3 linked regions of the Cricetulus griseus genome follow. The protein of the gene in region 1 purifies or fractionates together with the protein of each later gene. This does not show direct contact. Links are inferred from orthologs where the notes say so. Each region holds a gene or a part of one and is shown in the gene's direction. Other genes may lie near its edges.

What was found.
Region 2: the proteins of L3mbtl2 (region 1) and Mga purify together in Homo sapiens (affinity purification with mass spectrometry; 3 studies listed by BioGRID and IntAct, counting the BioPlex papers as one, with this or other methods). This does not show direct contact. The link is inferred for Cricetulus griseus from reciprocal best matches to the Homo sapiens genes L3MBTL2 and MGA.
Region 3: the proteins of L3mbtl2 (region 1) and Lin54 purify together in Homo sapiens (affinity purification with mass spectrometry; 3 studies listed by BioGRID and IntAct, counting the BioPlex papers as one, with this or other methods). This does not show direct contact. The link is inferred for Cricetulus griseus from reciprocal best matches to the Homo sapiens genes L3MBTL2 and LIN54.

What each region holds. Positions count from the first base shown.
Region 1 is NC_048595.1:378,806,412-378,810,735, forward strand, and holds the start of L3mbtl2 (lethal(3)malignant brain tumor-like protein 2), read left to right. Parts: upstream 1-1,485; 5' UTR 1,486-1,592; coding exon 1,593-1,616; intron 1,617-4,216; coding exon 4,217-4,324. UniProt on the Homo sapiens protein: Putative Polycomb group (PcG) protein. PcG proteins maintain the transcriptionally repressive state of genes, probably via a modification of chromatin, rendering it heritably changed in its expressibility.
Region 2 is NC_048599.1:58,605,150-58,609,481, reverse strand, and holds the start of Mga (MAX gene-associated protein), read left to right. Parts: upstream 1-1,478; 5' UTR 1,479-1,558; intron 1,559-4,332. UniProt on the Homo sapiens protein: Functions as a dual-specificity transcription factor, regulating the expression of both MAX-network and T-box family target genes. Functions as a repressor or an activator.
Region 3 is NW_023276807.1:162,482,559-162,486,155, reverse strand, and holds part of Lin54 (protein lin-54 homolog), read left to right. Parts: coding exon 1-109; intron 110-2,154; coding exon 2,155-2,356; 3' UTR 2,357-3,597. UniProt on the Homo sapiens protein: Component of the DREAM complex, a multiprotein complex that can both act as a transcription activator or repressor depending on the context. In G0 phase, the complex binds to more than 800 promoters and is required for repression of E2F target genes.

The sequences.
Region 1 (4,324 bases):
TGGCAGGCCAGAAAATCATGTGGATGGATCCCTTTGTCTCTGCTTACCCAGTGCTGGGATTAAATTACAGGCATACTCCATCATGTACAGGGGATAGAACTAAGGTCTCCATGCTTTAGCTGCAATCACTTTACTGCCTGAGTCATTTGCCCTAGCTTGAAGGTTATAACATATATCATTATTATAATTTTTATGTATATAGGTGTTTTGTTGTGTGTGTGCATGCCCCATGTTAGTGTCTGTCATCCTCAGAGGTCAGAAAAGAGGGTAAGGATCCACTGTAGTTACAGACGTTTGTGTGTTGCCATGTAGGTGCTGGAAATTAAACCCTTGACCTCTTGAAAAAACAGCCACTAACCACTGAACCATTTCTCCAGTCTTATGCTTTTATTTATTTAGCATGTGTGTGTTTGCTTGATGTGAGTGTGGGTGTGTATATGGAGGTCAGGACAACTTCATGGACTCGATTCTCTCCTTCCAATCTTTATTTATTTATTTTTGTTTTTCAAGACAGGGTTTCCCTGTGTAGCTTTGGAGGCTGTCCTGGAACTCGCTCTGTAGACCAGGCTGGTCTCGAACTCACAGAGATCTGCCTGTCTCTGCCGCCGGAGTGCTGGGATTAAAGGCATGCACTACCACCGCCCCGCCAATCTTTTTTTTTTTTTAAAGATTTATTTATTTTGTAGTGTTCTGCCTGCATGCATGCCTGTGGCCAGAAGAGGGCACCAGATCTCATTACGGATGGTTGTGAGCCAATATGTGGTTATTGGGAATTGAACTCAGGACTTCAGCCAGTGCTCCTAACTAACCCCTCTGAGCCATCTCTCCAGCCCTTCCTTCCATCTTTATGTCAGGGGCTCATAGATTTGAACTCAGGTAAAAGGGTTTGCGTGTCAAGCTCCATTGCACGCTAAACCATCTCACCAGCCCCAGCCTGAGTATTTTGAGCGAGCAGAGCATTTATAGCATACAGAGGGATTAAGAATATTCCAGTTTTGCGGGGCCATGGTGGTGTACACCTTTAATCCCAGCACTCAGGAGGCAGAGGCAGGCGGATCTCTGTGAGTTAGAGGCCAGCCTGGTCTACTGAGAGAGTTCCAGGACAGGTTCCAAAACCTGTCTCGAAACCCACCCCACCCCCCCCCAAAAAAAAAAGAAAGAAAGAAAGAAGAAAGAAAGAAAGAAAGAAAGAAATTCAGTTTCTGCCTGCCTGAGTTGAAAGAGAGACTAGGCATTTCTTCTAGGCATCCTAGTAGAAGAGCACCTTTACTTCCTAGCTGAGAGGGTGCGAAAATTTGTCTGGCGCCTGGACGCGTCCATCCTAGGTACTGGGAAGGATTGAAAGTGGGTTTACAGAGGATGATGAGAGAAGCACCCCGGAGAAAACTACAACTCCCATAACCGCCTGGGCTACCCAGCCCCTCTGTAATGGAGGCGGGGTTCGGGTAGCGCGGAACCGGCTTTTCCTATTTCCTACGGAGTGATTGGTCTGCAGATCAGGCGTGGTAGCCAATGAGCACGCTCTGGGTGAGCGGCGAGGGCAATATGGCTTCCTGCACCTGGTGACGGTTGAGGAAATTGAATTTGGTACCATGGAGAAACCACGGGGCACTGAGGTAAGAGGGAAGGGGCTCAGCCCTGCCGAGGAAGAGAGCCCCGAACGCCTCACTCGGCGGACGCCCCGTTTTAGCGACGCCTTTGGGGTGGAGAGTTGCAGGATTGGTAAACTGAGGTCAGGAGTTTAGTTCGACCGGAGACGAGCCGGGTTCGTTTTTGCTCCTGTTACGCTGTGGGCTCGGGTCTAGGGAAGGAGGAGACGCCTCCCCATGCAGGGGCATTGGAACTGGACTTCAAACTCTGACGCATTCGTTTGTCTTCTTGGTTTCGTGGTTCGGCGCTTTAGGCATTGTGCGGCCTGTCGCTTCCACGCGGGAGGTCAAGGGAAATAGAAATTGGTTATTACTCCGTGCTGGAGCTTTTACGTGTCTGTCTCCCAGTATACGCACTGCCATATTCTGTAGGGAGGGGGTCAAGCAGCCTGTTGGATTCCCCCAGGACGTTGACACAGCTGGGAAGTGCAAGAGGTTGGCGCTAAGGATGTCAGTTCCCAAAACCTTGCTATGCTTTTCCATGGGGTACAGCAGCCCGTTACCCACTACACCTTGCATTTGAAGTGTGTTTCCTTTTTCGAAAGTAATAATAGCCAACATTTACTGAGCACTCTTCTGACTGTTTTACTTTTATCATTCCTTCTTCCCAAAATATTATTAAATAGTGGTATTGTCCTCATTTTGGAAGCTGAGACCATGGGAGTTGACTTGCTGTGGATTATAGGAAGCACTGGAGATGGTATTTGAACCTTGGGTTTTTATGTAGTATTCTTTCATGGATGAGAAAACTGAGGTCCCCATAAGTTAAATGACCCAAGGATCAGTAGCTGATTAGGGTCAGAGCTCACCTATAAGCTGTGATACACGCTGCCAAACTACTACTATCTGTGTGGCATCTTACTCAGGTCTGCCAGGGACAGTCCCAGTCTCAGTTTTCTCACCGCCCCCTTTTAGGAAGGAAATAGGTTTATTGAATACACTGCAAGGAACAATGGGCTAGGCAGTGGCAGGAGTACTCTGCTGCCAGCTTTAAATTTGTTTTTGAGCCAGGTGGTGGTGGTACACGCCTTTAAATCCCAGCACTCGGGAGGCAGAGGCAAGTGGATCTCTGAGTTCAAGGCCAGCCTGGTCTACAGAGAGACCCTGTCTCAAAATAAAAATTGTTTTGAATCAAAATCATTCAGGTGTGCGTATACTGAACAGGGAAGAATGGATTTCAAATGCCTTCTGCCCAGGAAATTTTTTCTTTGTGTGGTGCTTGGGATATTTCCACATTATTGTATAGAACTCTGATCCCTGGCATAATGTTTTGACTTTATAGTGGCGTGAAAGCAATATTTATTCAGTAGACATTGTACTTTGAAGTTCGAAGTTTGCTCTGTACCCAAGCTACCCATATGAGAGGTTGGTGGTGGGCAGAGGCACAACCTACAGCCTGCAATTAGCCATGCAGTCACTAGGGGAAACAACCCAATATCCTGCTGTGCACCATATTGTTAAGCTAAGGTAGGCTAGATGTCCTCTTTTTCTTTCCTTAAGAGAGGGTTGTGCAGTGTTGGTGTACACCTATAATCCCTGCATTCCAGAAACTGAGGTAGGCAGATCTCTAAGTTCAAGGCTAGTCTGGTCTATAGAATGAGTTTCAGGACAGGATACACAGAGAAAGTGAGCCTTTAAAAAAAAAAGAAAGGAGATATCTAACGCCTGCTGACCTGGAATTTGCTGTGTACACCTGGTGGGCCTCAAACTCAAAGTGATGAGTCTGCCACTGAATGCTGGGATTAGGTGTGCACCATGATACCCGGCCTCCTAGATGTCTTAAATGAATTTTCAGCATATAATATGTATATAATTTTTTTTGAGATAGGATTTCGTTTAGCCCTGGCTGTCCTAGAACTAGCTATGTAGAATAGACTGGCCTTGAACTCACAGATATCTGCTTGCCTCTGCTTCCCAAGTTACTGGGATTAATGGTGTGTACCACTACCACCCAGCATTTTATTTTTATTTTAAAAAGATTTTCAACTAGCTGGTCTTCCAGAGGTCCTGAGTTTGGTTCCCAGCAACTACATGGTGGCTTATAACAATCTATAATGAGATCTGGTGCCCGCTTCTGGCCTGCATAGATATATGCAGACAGAACACTATATACTTAATAAATCTTTAAAAAAAAGATTTTTTTGTATAGTCATTTTGCCTGCATGTATGTCTGCACCATATGCATGCCTGATGCACACAGAGGCCAGAAGAGAGCATCAGATCCTCTGGGACTGCAGCTGCAGAAGGTTATGATTGATCTTGTAGGTGCTGGGAACCAAACTTGGGTCCTCTTGGAAGAGCAACCAGTGGTCCTAACCACTGAGCCATCTCTCCAGCTGCTCAATTTATAATATTTTAGCTTATGGTAGGTTTATCCAGCTATAACTCCATCTGTGTTCTCTTTTGTCCATATTAAAATATCCTGTAGGGAGCTGAAGAGGTGGTTCAGTGGTTAAGAGCTCTTACTGCTCTTTCAGAGGACCTGAGTTCAAATCCCCAACCACATTGGGTCATTACCAGGTTTGCAAATTTTCTTCCCAAGCTAAACAATGTCATTCTTCCACTAGGAGACGCCATCTTCAGAGCCAATGGAAGAAGAGGAGGATGATGACTTGGAACTCTTTGGGGGCTATGATAGCTTCCGGAGTTACAACAGCAGTGCAGGCAGTGAGAGC
Region 2 (4,332 bases), on another chromosome or scaffold:
TTTATCCGGGTGCAGAGGACTGCATGCCAGACAACACTCAACCAACTGAGCTACATCCCTAGCTCTAGACACTAGATAGTAAACCCAGTACATCGATTTGCCTAGAGAACATATTAAAATATATTTTCTGGTTCCCATGAAACCCTGAGGGATGGAAATATAAGTATAGTAGCTTTCTCTCAGAGTTGTTGCTAGAATTAAATATAAAGACTGGAATTTTTTTATAAGCTTCAACAGAAATGACAATATATGTTTATTTAATGCTTTTGTTTTCTCGTCCAGGAATTGATTTTGTGATATTTGAGTGATGAAGTACCCCATAACCAGGAGTGTGCCCTGTAGTTTTGTCTTGTAATATTATAAATATGCCTATTACCTAACTTCTAGTCTATAAATATGTGCTTGTGAGAGCCAGGATTAGTCAAATTTCTCAAGCTGACCATCCTTTGAGACTTATAAAAATTTTGACATCATCAAAGCCGCTAAGTGTACTTCTTAGCAGATGAGGTGTGAATTATTTTAAGCGGGCGCTTCATTGTGGGTAGAATACAAGGTTAGGCTCAGCGATAAATTTGCTAATGCATTACAAAACCAACTCATCCTAGTGAAAGCCCACTTTTTCTTAGTGTTAGCACGTTTTTTTTCGTAATTCCAACGTGCTACAAATGGTTTAGGCAAACCAGGGCCAATGCAAGGGGCATGCTGTCGATCTTAAAAACAAAAACAAAAAAACACAAAACAACCCCAACTCCTCCCATTTCCCCAACCGTAAGCTTATTGAGAAAGGTCGGCTATTCCTGGAGAAATTCTAAGAATTACAACCATTCCTAAGTGGAGACTGCGGTAGACAGTATTCAAGTTAGCGTTCTAGTCCGTTGACCACGGAAGGCTGGTTGGTTCTTGGTGAAGGTAAAAACACCTTTGCTATTTTTCTGCAACATTCACCAAGTCAGCAGGCGCGGCTCCACGAGGGCAGGCTGAGCGGTTTCCCCAAGAACACACCGATCAAACAACCAGGGGAGGAGGGACTGAAAGTGCCTGGTGTACTGTCACAGGCCAGTAATTACCCAAACCACCTCGTCCTGGGACCGGCTTTCAAAGGGACACCAAAGCAAAGCTCGAAAGGTGACAGCCAGGAAAACGGGAGAGGTGGCTTTCCCGGCATGCTCTGCAGCACACTGAGGGGCGCCAGACGCATCCCGGCGTGCAACGGGGAGCGCCCAAGGGCGATGGTTCACGGCTCCTGGAGGGGCAGGCGAAGTTAAGCCGGTAGGTGTGATCTTACTTAGTTTCGGGACCCCGCTCTCTCGGTCCCCCTTTGCGGACGCTGCCCGGTAAAGGGCACAAGCAGGGTCTTGTGGCCACGCTCCCCTTGCGCGTGCGAGCCACTTTCGGTGCCGCTTCGAGCACCGTGCCAGGTGATTAGCGGCTGTGGGCGGGCCTGCGCGCGGCACGTGACTGGGCCTGGCAGCCAATGGCCAGCCGGGTGGTCCGGCAGCGCGACGATCCCGGGACCCCGGAGCTGCGCGGCGTGGGCCGACTCCCGTCCACCCGGCAGGTACGCGCAGGCGCCTCGTTTGTCACGCGCTCCGTCCGTCCCCGCGCGCCCAGTGGCGGGGACTCGGCCCGAGGCGTTGAGAGCCTGTCGTGGGTGTTTTCCGTGGGCAGGGGGACGGCGAGGGTGAGTGTGTGTGTGGGGGCGCCGCGGCGTCACGTGCGCGCCGCAGCCTATCGCAGGCCGAGGCGCATCCGCAGCCCTCCTGGCGCCCTGGGGTGCGACGTGTTCCGTGAGGCTCGGGCGGGCCCTCACTGTTGGAGCGCTCTTTCGAAGCGCGTGTGCGGCCTGGAAAATCTGGCTGCGATGTTGCGTCCGCTCGGCTCCCGCGCGAGCACGGACGACAAGTTCTCGGCAAAATGGCTGCTGGAAACAGTCGCCTAGCAGGGGCAACGCTGGGGCCGCGTGAAGGTCACATGACGAGGTTGGCAGCGCGTGCTGCTGGCGCGGGGAAGGGGGAGGCCCGGGGCGTGGCGAGTCACGTGTCCGCGGCTCGCGAGCCTGTGATTTCGAACGACTTTGCGGAGGCCCGCTGGTCGGCTTCCACCCCTCCCTTCTCGAAGCGTGGCTAGAGTCCGTGAGAAAGCCGCGCGCTGCGGCGGAATCGACCTTAATCCGGGAGGTTGGACGCAGGGTCTGCGCCTTTGGCCAGTTTTGTCATCTTTCTGTCTATATTTTAGCAAGGTAGAGATGATTGTTTCCTATCGTCTTAAGGCCCGAGATTCCCTGGCCTCAGTACATGCAGATAACCAAAATAACAGGTGGTGATGGGAGTGAGGCTCACTAACAGAATGCTTGCTTGCTTAGAGTTTAGAGTGTTTTAGGATAGGCCCTTGATCCCCTATCACACAGTGAGCACATTATTATTTACTGCCGGAGAAGCTTTTCTCTCAAAGACCTCCCTCGACCACTCCATCTACCTTTTCGTTTTGAGGCAGTGCAGACCAGGCTGGCTTCGATTCTGTTCAAGTTTTGGAGTTAAAGGCATGTATGGCCATGCCCAACTAGCCTTATCTGTCTTGATCTGTTCCATTTCTGCTATATATTTGTTTCATAAAGCTGTCTGAAAAGGTATAGACTTAACACTTGTAAACATTTTGAAGCTTCCTACCATCCAGTCTTTCACCAAGGTCAAGGCTTTGTAGAAATAAAAAACCTATAAAGGTGTGTATCATGACATATCTGGTAAATAACACACTTTTAACTTTTTTGGGGGGGGGAGCTGGGGATTAAACCCAGAGCCTCAATTGTCCTAGACAAGAGCTTAACCACTGAGTTTTACTTCAATGTACTACTGTTTATATTTTATAATATCTTTTGATTTCTCTTAAAGTGCCTTGGAATCTCATGGGAACAGAATTTGAAAACATTCATTGAGCAATTAATAGCTGTCACTTGAATAATTACACAAATAGCTAACTTTTTTTTTTTTTTTTTTTTTGAGACATGGTTTCTTTGTGTATCCTGACCATCCTGTAGACCAGGCTGGCCTCCCAATTCAGAGATCCACCTGCCTCTGCCTCCCAGATACTGGGATTAAAGGTGTGCACCACCACCATCCAAGAGTAGCTAGCATTTTTATAGCCTAGTGTTCTCAGTATTGTTTCTTCTTTTTCTTTTCAGTTTCTTGGTGACAGGGTCTTATGTAGGCCATATGGATCTCAAACTTACTATCTAGCCAGGAATGATCTTGAATTTCTGATTCACCTGCTTCTATCTTCTTGTGTTCCTGGATTACAGGTGTGTGCCACAATACCCGAGTCTGGTCTATTCAATACTGGAATAGAACCCAGGGCTTCCTACATGCTAAGGCAAGCATTCTACCAATTGACCTACATCTTCAGTCTTCCAGAGTTTGTTGGAAAAGTGCAGATTTTTTAATTTTTTTTTCCTGATACACGGTTTCTCTGTAGCTTTGGAGCCTTCCTGGAACTCACTCTGTAGACCAGGCTGGCCCTGAACTCACAGAGATCTCAATGCTGGGATTAAAGGTGTGCGCTACCACCACCACCTGTCCAGTAGGAGAATTTTTGGGGTGGAGGTGGGGGGTGTTTCCAGACAGGGTTTCTTTGTGGCTTTGGAGGCTGTCCTGGAACTAGCTCTTGTAGACCAGGCTGGTCTTGAACTCACAGAGATCCACCTGATTCTGCTTCCCCAGCTCTGGGATTAAAGGCGTGCACCACCAATGCCTGGCTACACTTTTTTTCTTAAAGATTATTAATTTATTATGTATATAGTGTTCTGCCTGCATATTTCCCTGCAGGCCAGCAGAGGGCACCAGATCTCATAATGGATGGTTGTGAGCCACCATGTGGTTGCTGGGAATTAAACTCAGGACTTCTGAAAGAGCAGTCAGTGCTCTTAACCTCTGAGCCATCTCCCAGCCCTAATATTAGAACATAGTACTTTTTGTAGTTATAATCTTGTTCCTGTGTTTTCCATCCCCATATTTATTTATTTATTTATTTATTTATTGGTTTTTCAAGACAAGGTTTCCCTGTGTAGCTTTGGAGCCTTTCCTGGAACTATCTCTTGTAGACCAGGCTGGTTTTGAACTCACGGAGTTCCGTCTGCCTCTGCCTCCCAAGTGCTGGGATTAAAGGCAAGCGCCACCACCTGGCTCCTTTTTTTTTTTTTTTTTCTTTCTTTACCTGTCTAGATTTGTCTCAAACTTGCTATGTAGCTGAGGCTGGTCTTTAACTCCTGAATTTCCCACCCTAGCAGGAATACTGGCAATTTCTGAATATTGGAATTTCAGGTGTATGCCACCATACTCA
Region 3 (3,597 bases), on another chromosome or scaffold:
CAGCTGAAGTGAGGGTCCAGCAACAGACAGCAGCCAAGACCAAGCTGTCCTCTCAGATCTCAGACTTGCTGACGAGGCCAACCCCAGCCCTGAACAGTGGAGGAGGAAAGTGAGTCAGTTCTTCTCAAAGCCTTTTTATCTGTGCCTCAGACGTTCACTTTTAGTAAGGCTTCTTTTTAGGGAGACAATGCTAACTCCAGACTCTCCACTGTTGCCAACCTGAATTTTCCATTTTCCTTCTACCTTACTTACCTTTTAAGTGAGTTGGGAGGGGGGAGAACACTGTCAGATCCTACAATGCACAGAAGTCCTTTAGTTTGCTATGTATATTAACAGGATTTCTGTCTGCTAACTTGGGTAGATGTACTGTGAGAAACTTTTAAGAAAGCCTGGGTTTATTGTGCTTTCAGTGGTGCTCCTCATTTCTTTAGCACTTTTGACTGTGACTAGTCCTGTTCGTGGCCTCCACATTGCACTGTGGTAGTGTAGTCTCCTATTTCCTGCCTCACTAGACTGCAGAGCTCTGGAGTGCAGAAGTTTGACTTAAGTCATGCATTGGTACAGTGGTGGCTGCTGTTAGCTGCTCAGGAGCTGAGGCAGGAATCATTTGGAATTCCAGGCCAGCCTGCACAATAAAGCACTACCCCATCTCAAAACAAAATAAAAAATAAACAACTGAGTATGTTGGTGCACTCCTTTAATCTCAGCACTCAGGAGGCAGAGACAGGTGGATTCAAGGTTGAGTTCGAGACCAGCCTGGTCTACAGAGCAAGTTCCTAGACAGCAAGGGCTACACAGAGAAACCCTGTCTTGAAAAAAGAAATCAGTAAGTAAAAACAAATTAATAAAAATAAGCAAGGGTATTATATCTTAAGAATTATATATAAAATATATAAAGGAATTATATATAAATACATAACTTAATTACCTGAAAAGAATATATGCCTACAAAAGTAGGTAGCCTGTGTTTTCTGTCTGAGTTAATTCCTAGTCTGGAAAAAACACACTCCGTCTCCCGTCTCAGCTTTCTGGGAACTGCATGAAGCATTTCTGTTGCCAGTATTTTTCAAGGTCTGCTGTTAACACAGTAAATTGGACTTGGATTTATTTATATTAGTGTATTATAGATTAATTTGAGAAATTAAGAGACTGAACCTTGTAAATGATCTATTACAGAGGTTCTCAACAAGAAGGTTGTGACCCCTTTGAGGGTCAAATGACCTTTTCACAGGGGTCAAGTTATACCATTCTGCATATCAGATATTTAAATTATAATTCATAACAGTAGCAAGTTACAGTTAACGATGTAGCAACAAAAATAATGTTATGTTCCAGGGTGACCACAGCATGAGGAACTATGTTAAAGTGTCACAGCATTAGGAAAGCTGAGAACAACTGGCTTACAGGGTGTTCTTAGTCCTTCAAGTTGTTAGTTGCCTGAATTAATTAATCTCTCTCAGGCTTTGAAACTACTTGGCTACACTGTAGGACCTTTGTAGAACATGTCTGTTTACTCCTTTGTTATTTATTGTGATGGAATAAGGTGGGGATTTAGTGGGGTTTTTGTTGTTGTTTTGTTTGTTTGAGACAGGGTCTCTATGTAGTCACAGCTGTCCTGAAACTTACTATGTATACCAGGCTGGCCTCAAACTTGAAGAAATCTGTCTGCCTCTGCCTCTCGAGTGCTGGGGTTTAAGGTGTGTGCCACACATCCATCAGGCTTTTGTTCTTTTTAACAATTAATATGAGGGAGTGTGGTAGAACTTTGTTTTCAGTAGTTCTTTTGGTTCCCAGTAGTGTTCATGGAATTCCTCTGTGTGTCAGGAAAGAGGCCCTCAAGCCAGGGCAGCACTCAAAGAGCATTCACACACTGGGAAGATCTGTGTGAAAGAATGCACAGTATAGGTGGAGAGGTACAGATTTTATTGAGCCAGATAGCATTGTCTGGGAAGTAAGTCATGTGTTTTATGTTAAATGTGTTTCCTGATAAATATTTTTAGATGTGCTTACTGAGACCAAACTTGTGTCTTAGAGCTCTTGAGGCTGTGTTTGACTCAAACTGATGTCCCTTTTGCTGGTGCAGCACGAAGGTACCAGTAGAATCCCAGGTCAACTTCATGATCACCTGTGTTTCTCTCTCAAACATCATTTCAGATTGCCATTTACATTTGTAACTAAGGAAGTAGCTGAAGCCACGTGTAACTGCCTCCTTGCCCAGGCAGAGCAGGCAGACAAGAAGGGGAAGTCAAAGGCTGCGGCAGAGCGGATGATACTTGAGGAGTTTGGACGGTGTCTGATGAGCGTCATCAACTCTGCAGGGAAAGCAAAAAGTGACCCTTGTGCCATGCACTGCTAACTCCTGCACAAAAGCTGCACGTGGACTGTACAGAAAACTTAAGGTTCCGGAACACTTGACTTTCTAGAAGATAGTTTAACAATTACTGTATTTTAATTCAGCCCTTGTTTTAAGAGACCTGAAACTATAATATTGAATGAGAAGAATCTTTAAATGAAGAAATTAGTACATTTTAAATCTTAGTTAATTCTGCCTATGTCCCTTCTAAATTTTTTCTTTAAATATTTTTCCTTTATTGTATTACATATTTTTTAATTTGCTTGGGTTTCTTAAGAATTAGATGTTCTGTCCTTCTGATTCCATTGACAAAGTACATTCATAAATTATTGTAATATCATTTATAATGTATGGTGTTGTATGACTTTGTTCAGTAGAAAAAGCCAAAGCAGCTACCCATTCTTTGGCTCCAGACCCAGAGCATTCACAGGTAGAATGTCCACATACCCAGATTCTTAATGAAACATATAACATTTTGTCTAGAAAAACACCATCCTTTTAAAGAAAAATCAGCTTTTTTGGGTGGATTCTGGAATACTATCTGTTGTCTCTGGGAAATCAGAAGGGGAAACAATCCCAATCACACTTTTCAGATATTCAAGTTGTCTTTTCTTTAATGAAAACAAAATATTAAGGGACAGACGGATGGGCAGTGTGTCTCTGTGATGAGGAATGGCTAACATGTTCTGGGATGTCTTTATTTTCTTTGAAGGAGGTGGTATGTTTTACAATAATTGTCAAAGTCATTATGGATAAGTACTTTAAAATGAGAGATGGTGTGAACTGAAGTAAACGTTTTATGGCAAGATAATGTAGGACTCATGAGCATCAAGTACAAAATTTGACTTGGATGGAGAAGCAAGGATACAAAGCTTTGAGATTATGTATGATGAAGTTTTTATCCACACAGTTCTCTGTATCTAGACTTTTGGAACTAAGTTTGAATCAATATGTGTTACCTGATTTATTGAACGGGCCTCCTAGCAGCTTTCACAATTGTCGTGAGCTATCTTCTTATAAAGGCAGTTTAATTCAGCAATGCTAAAGCCAGTGATTTGGTAGGCTGAAGTATGTGTGTTCTCATAATTGCACAAATTAACCTAAATCATTTTCAGTAATTAAAAACTGTATGCTCTTAGGAACCTATTGTAATAGGACTCTTGAGTTTATAACAAGGGAAAACTGTGTTGGAATTGAGGCATTTTGTAAGGTACCTTAATCCTTGCTAACTAATAGCATATGCT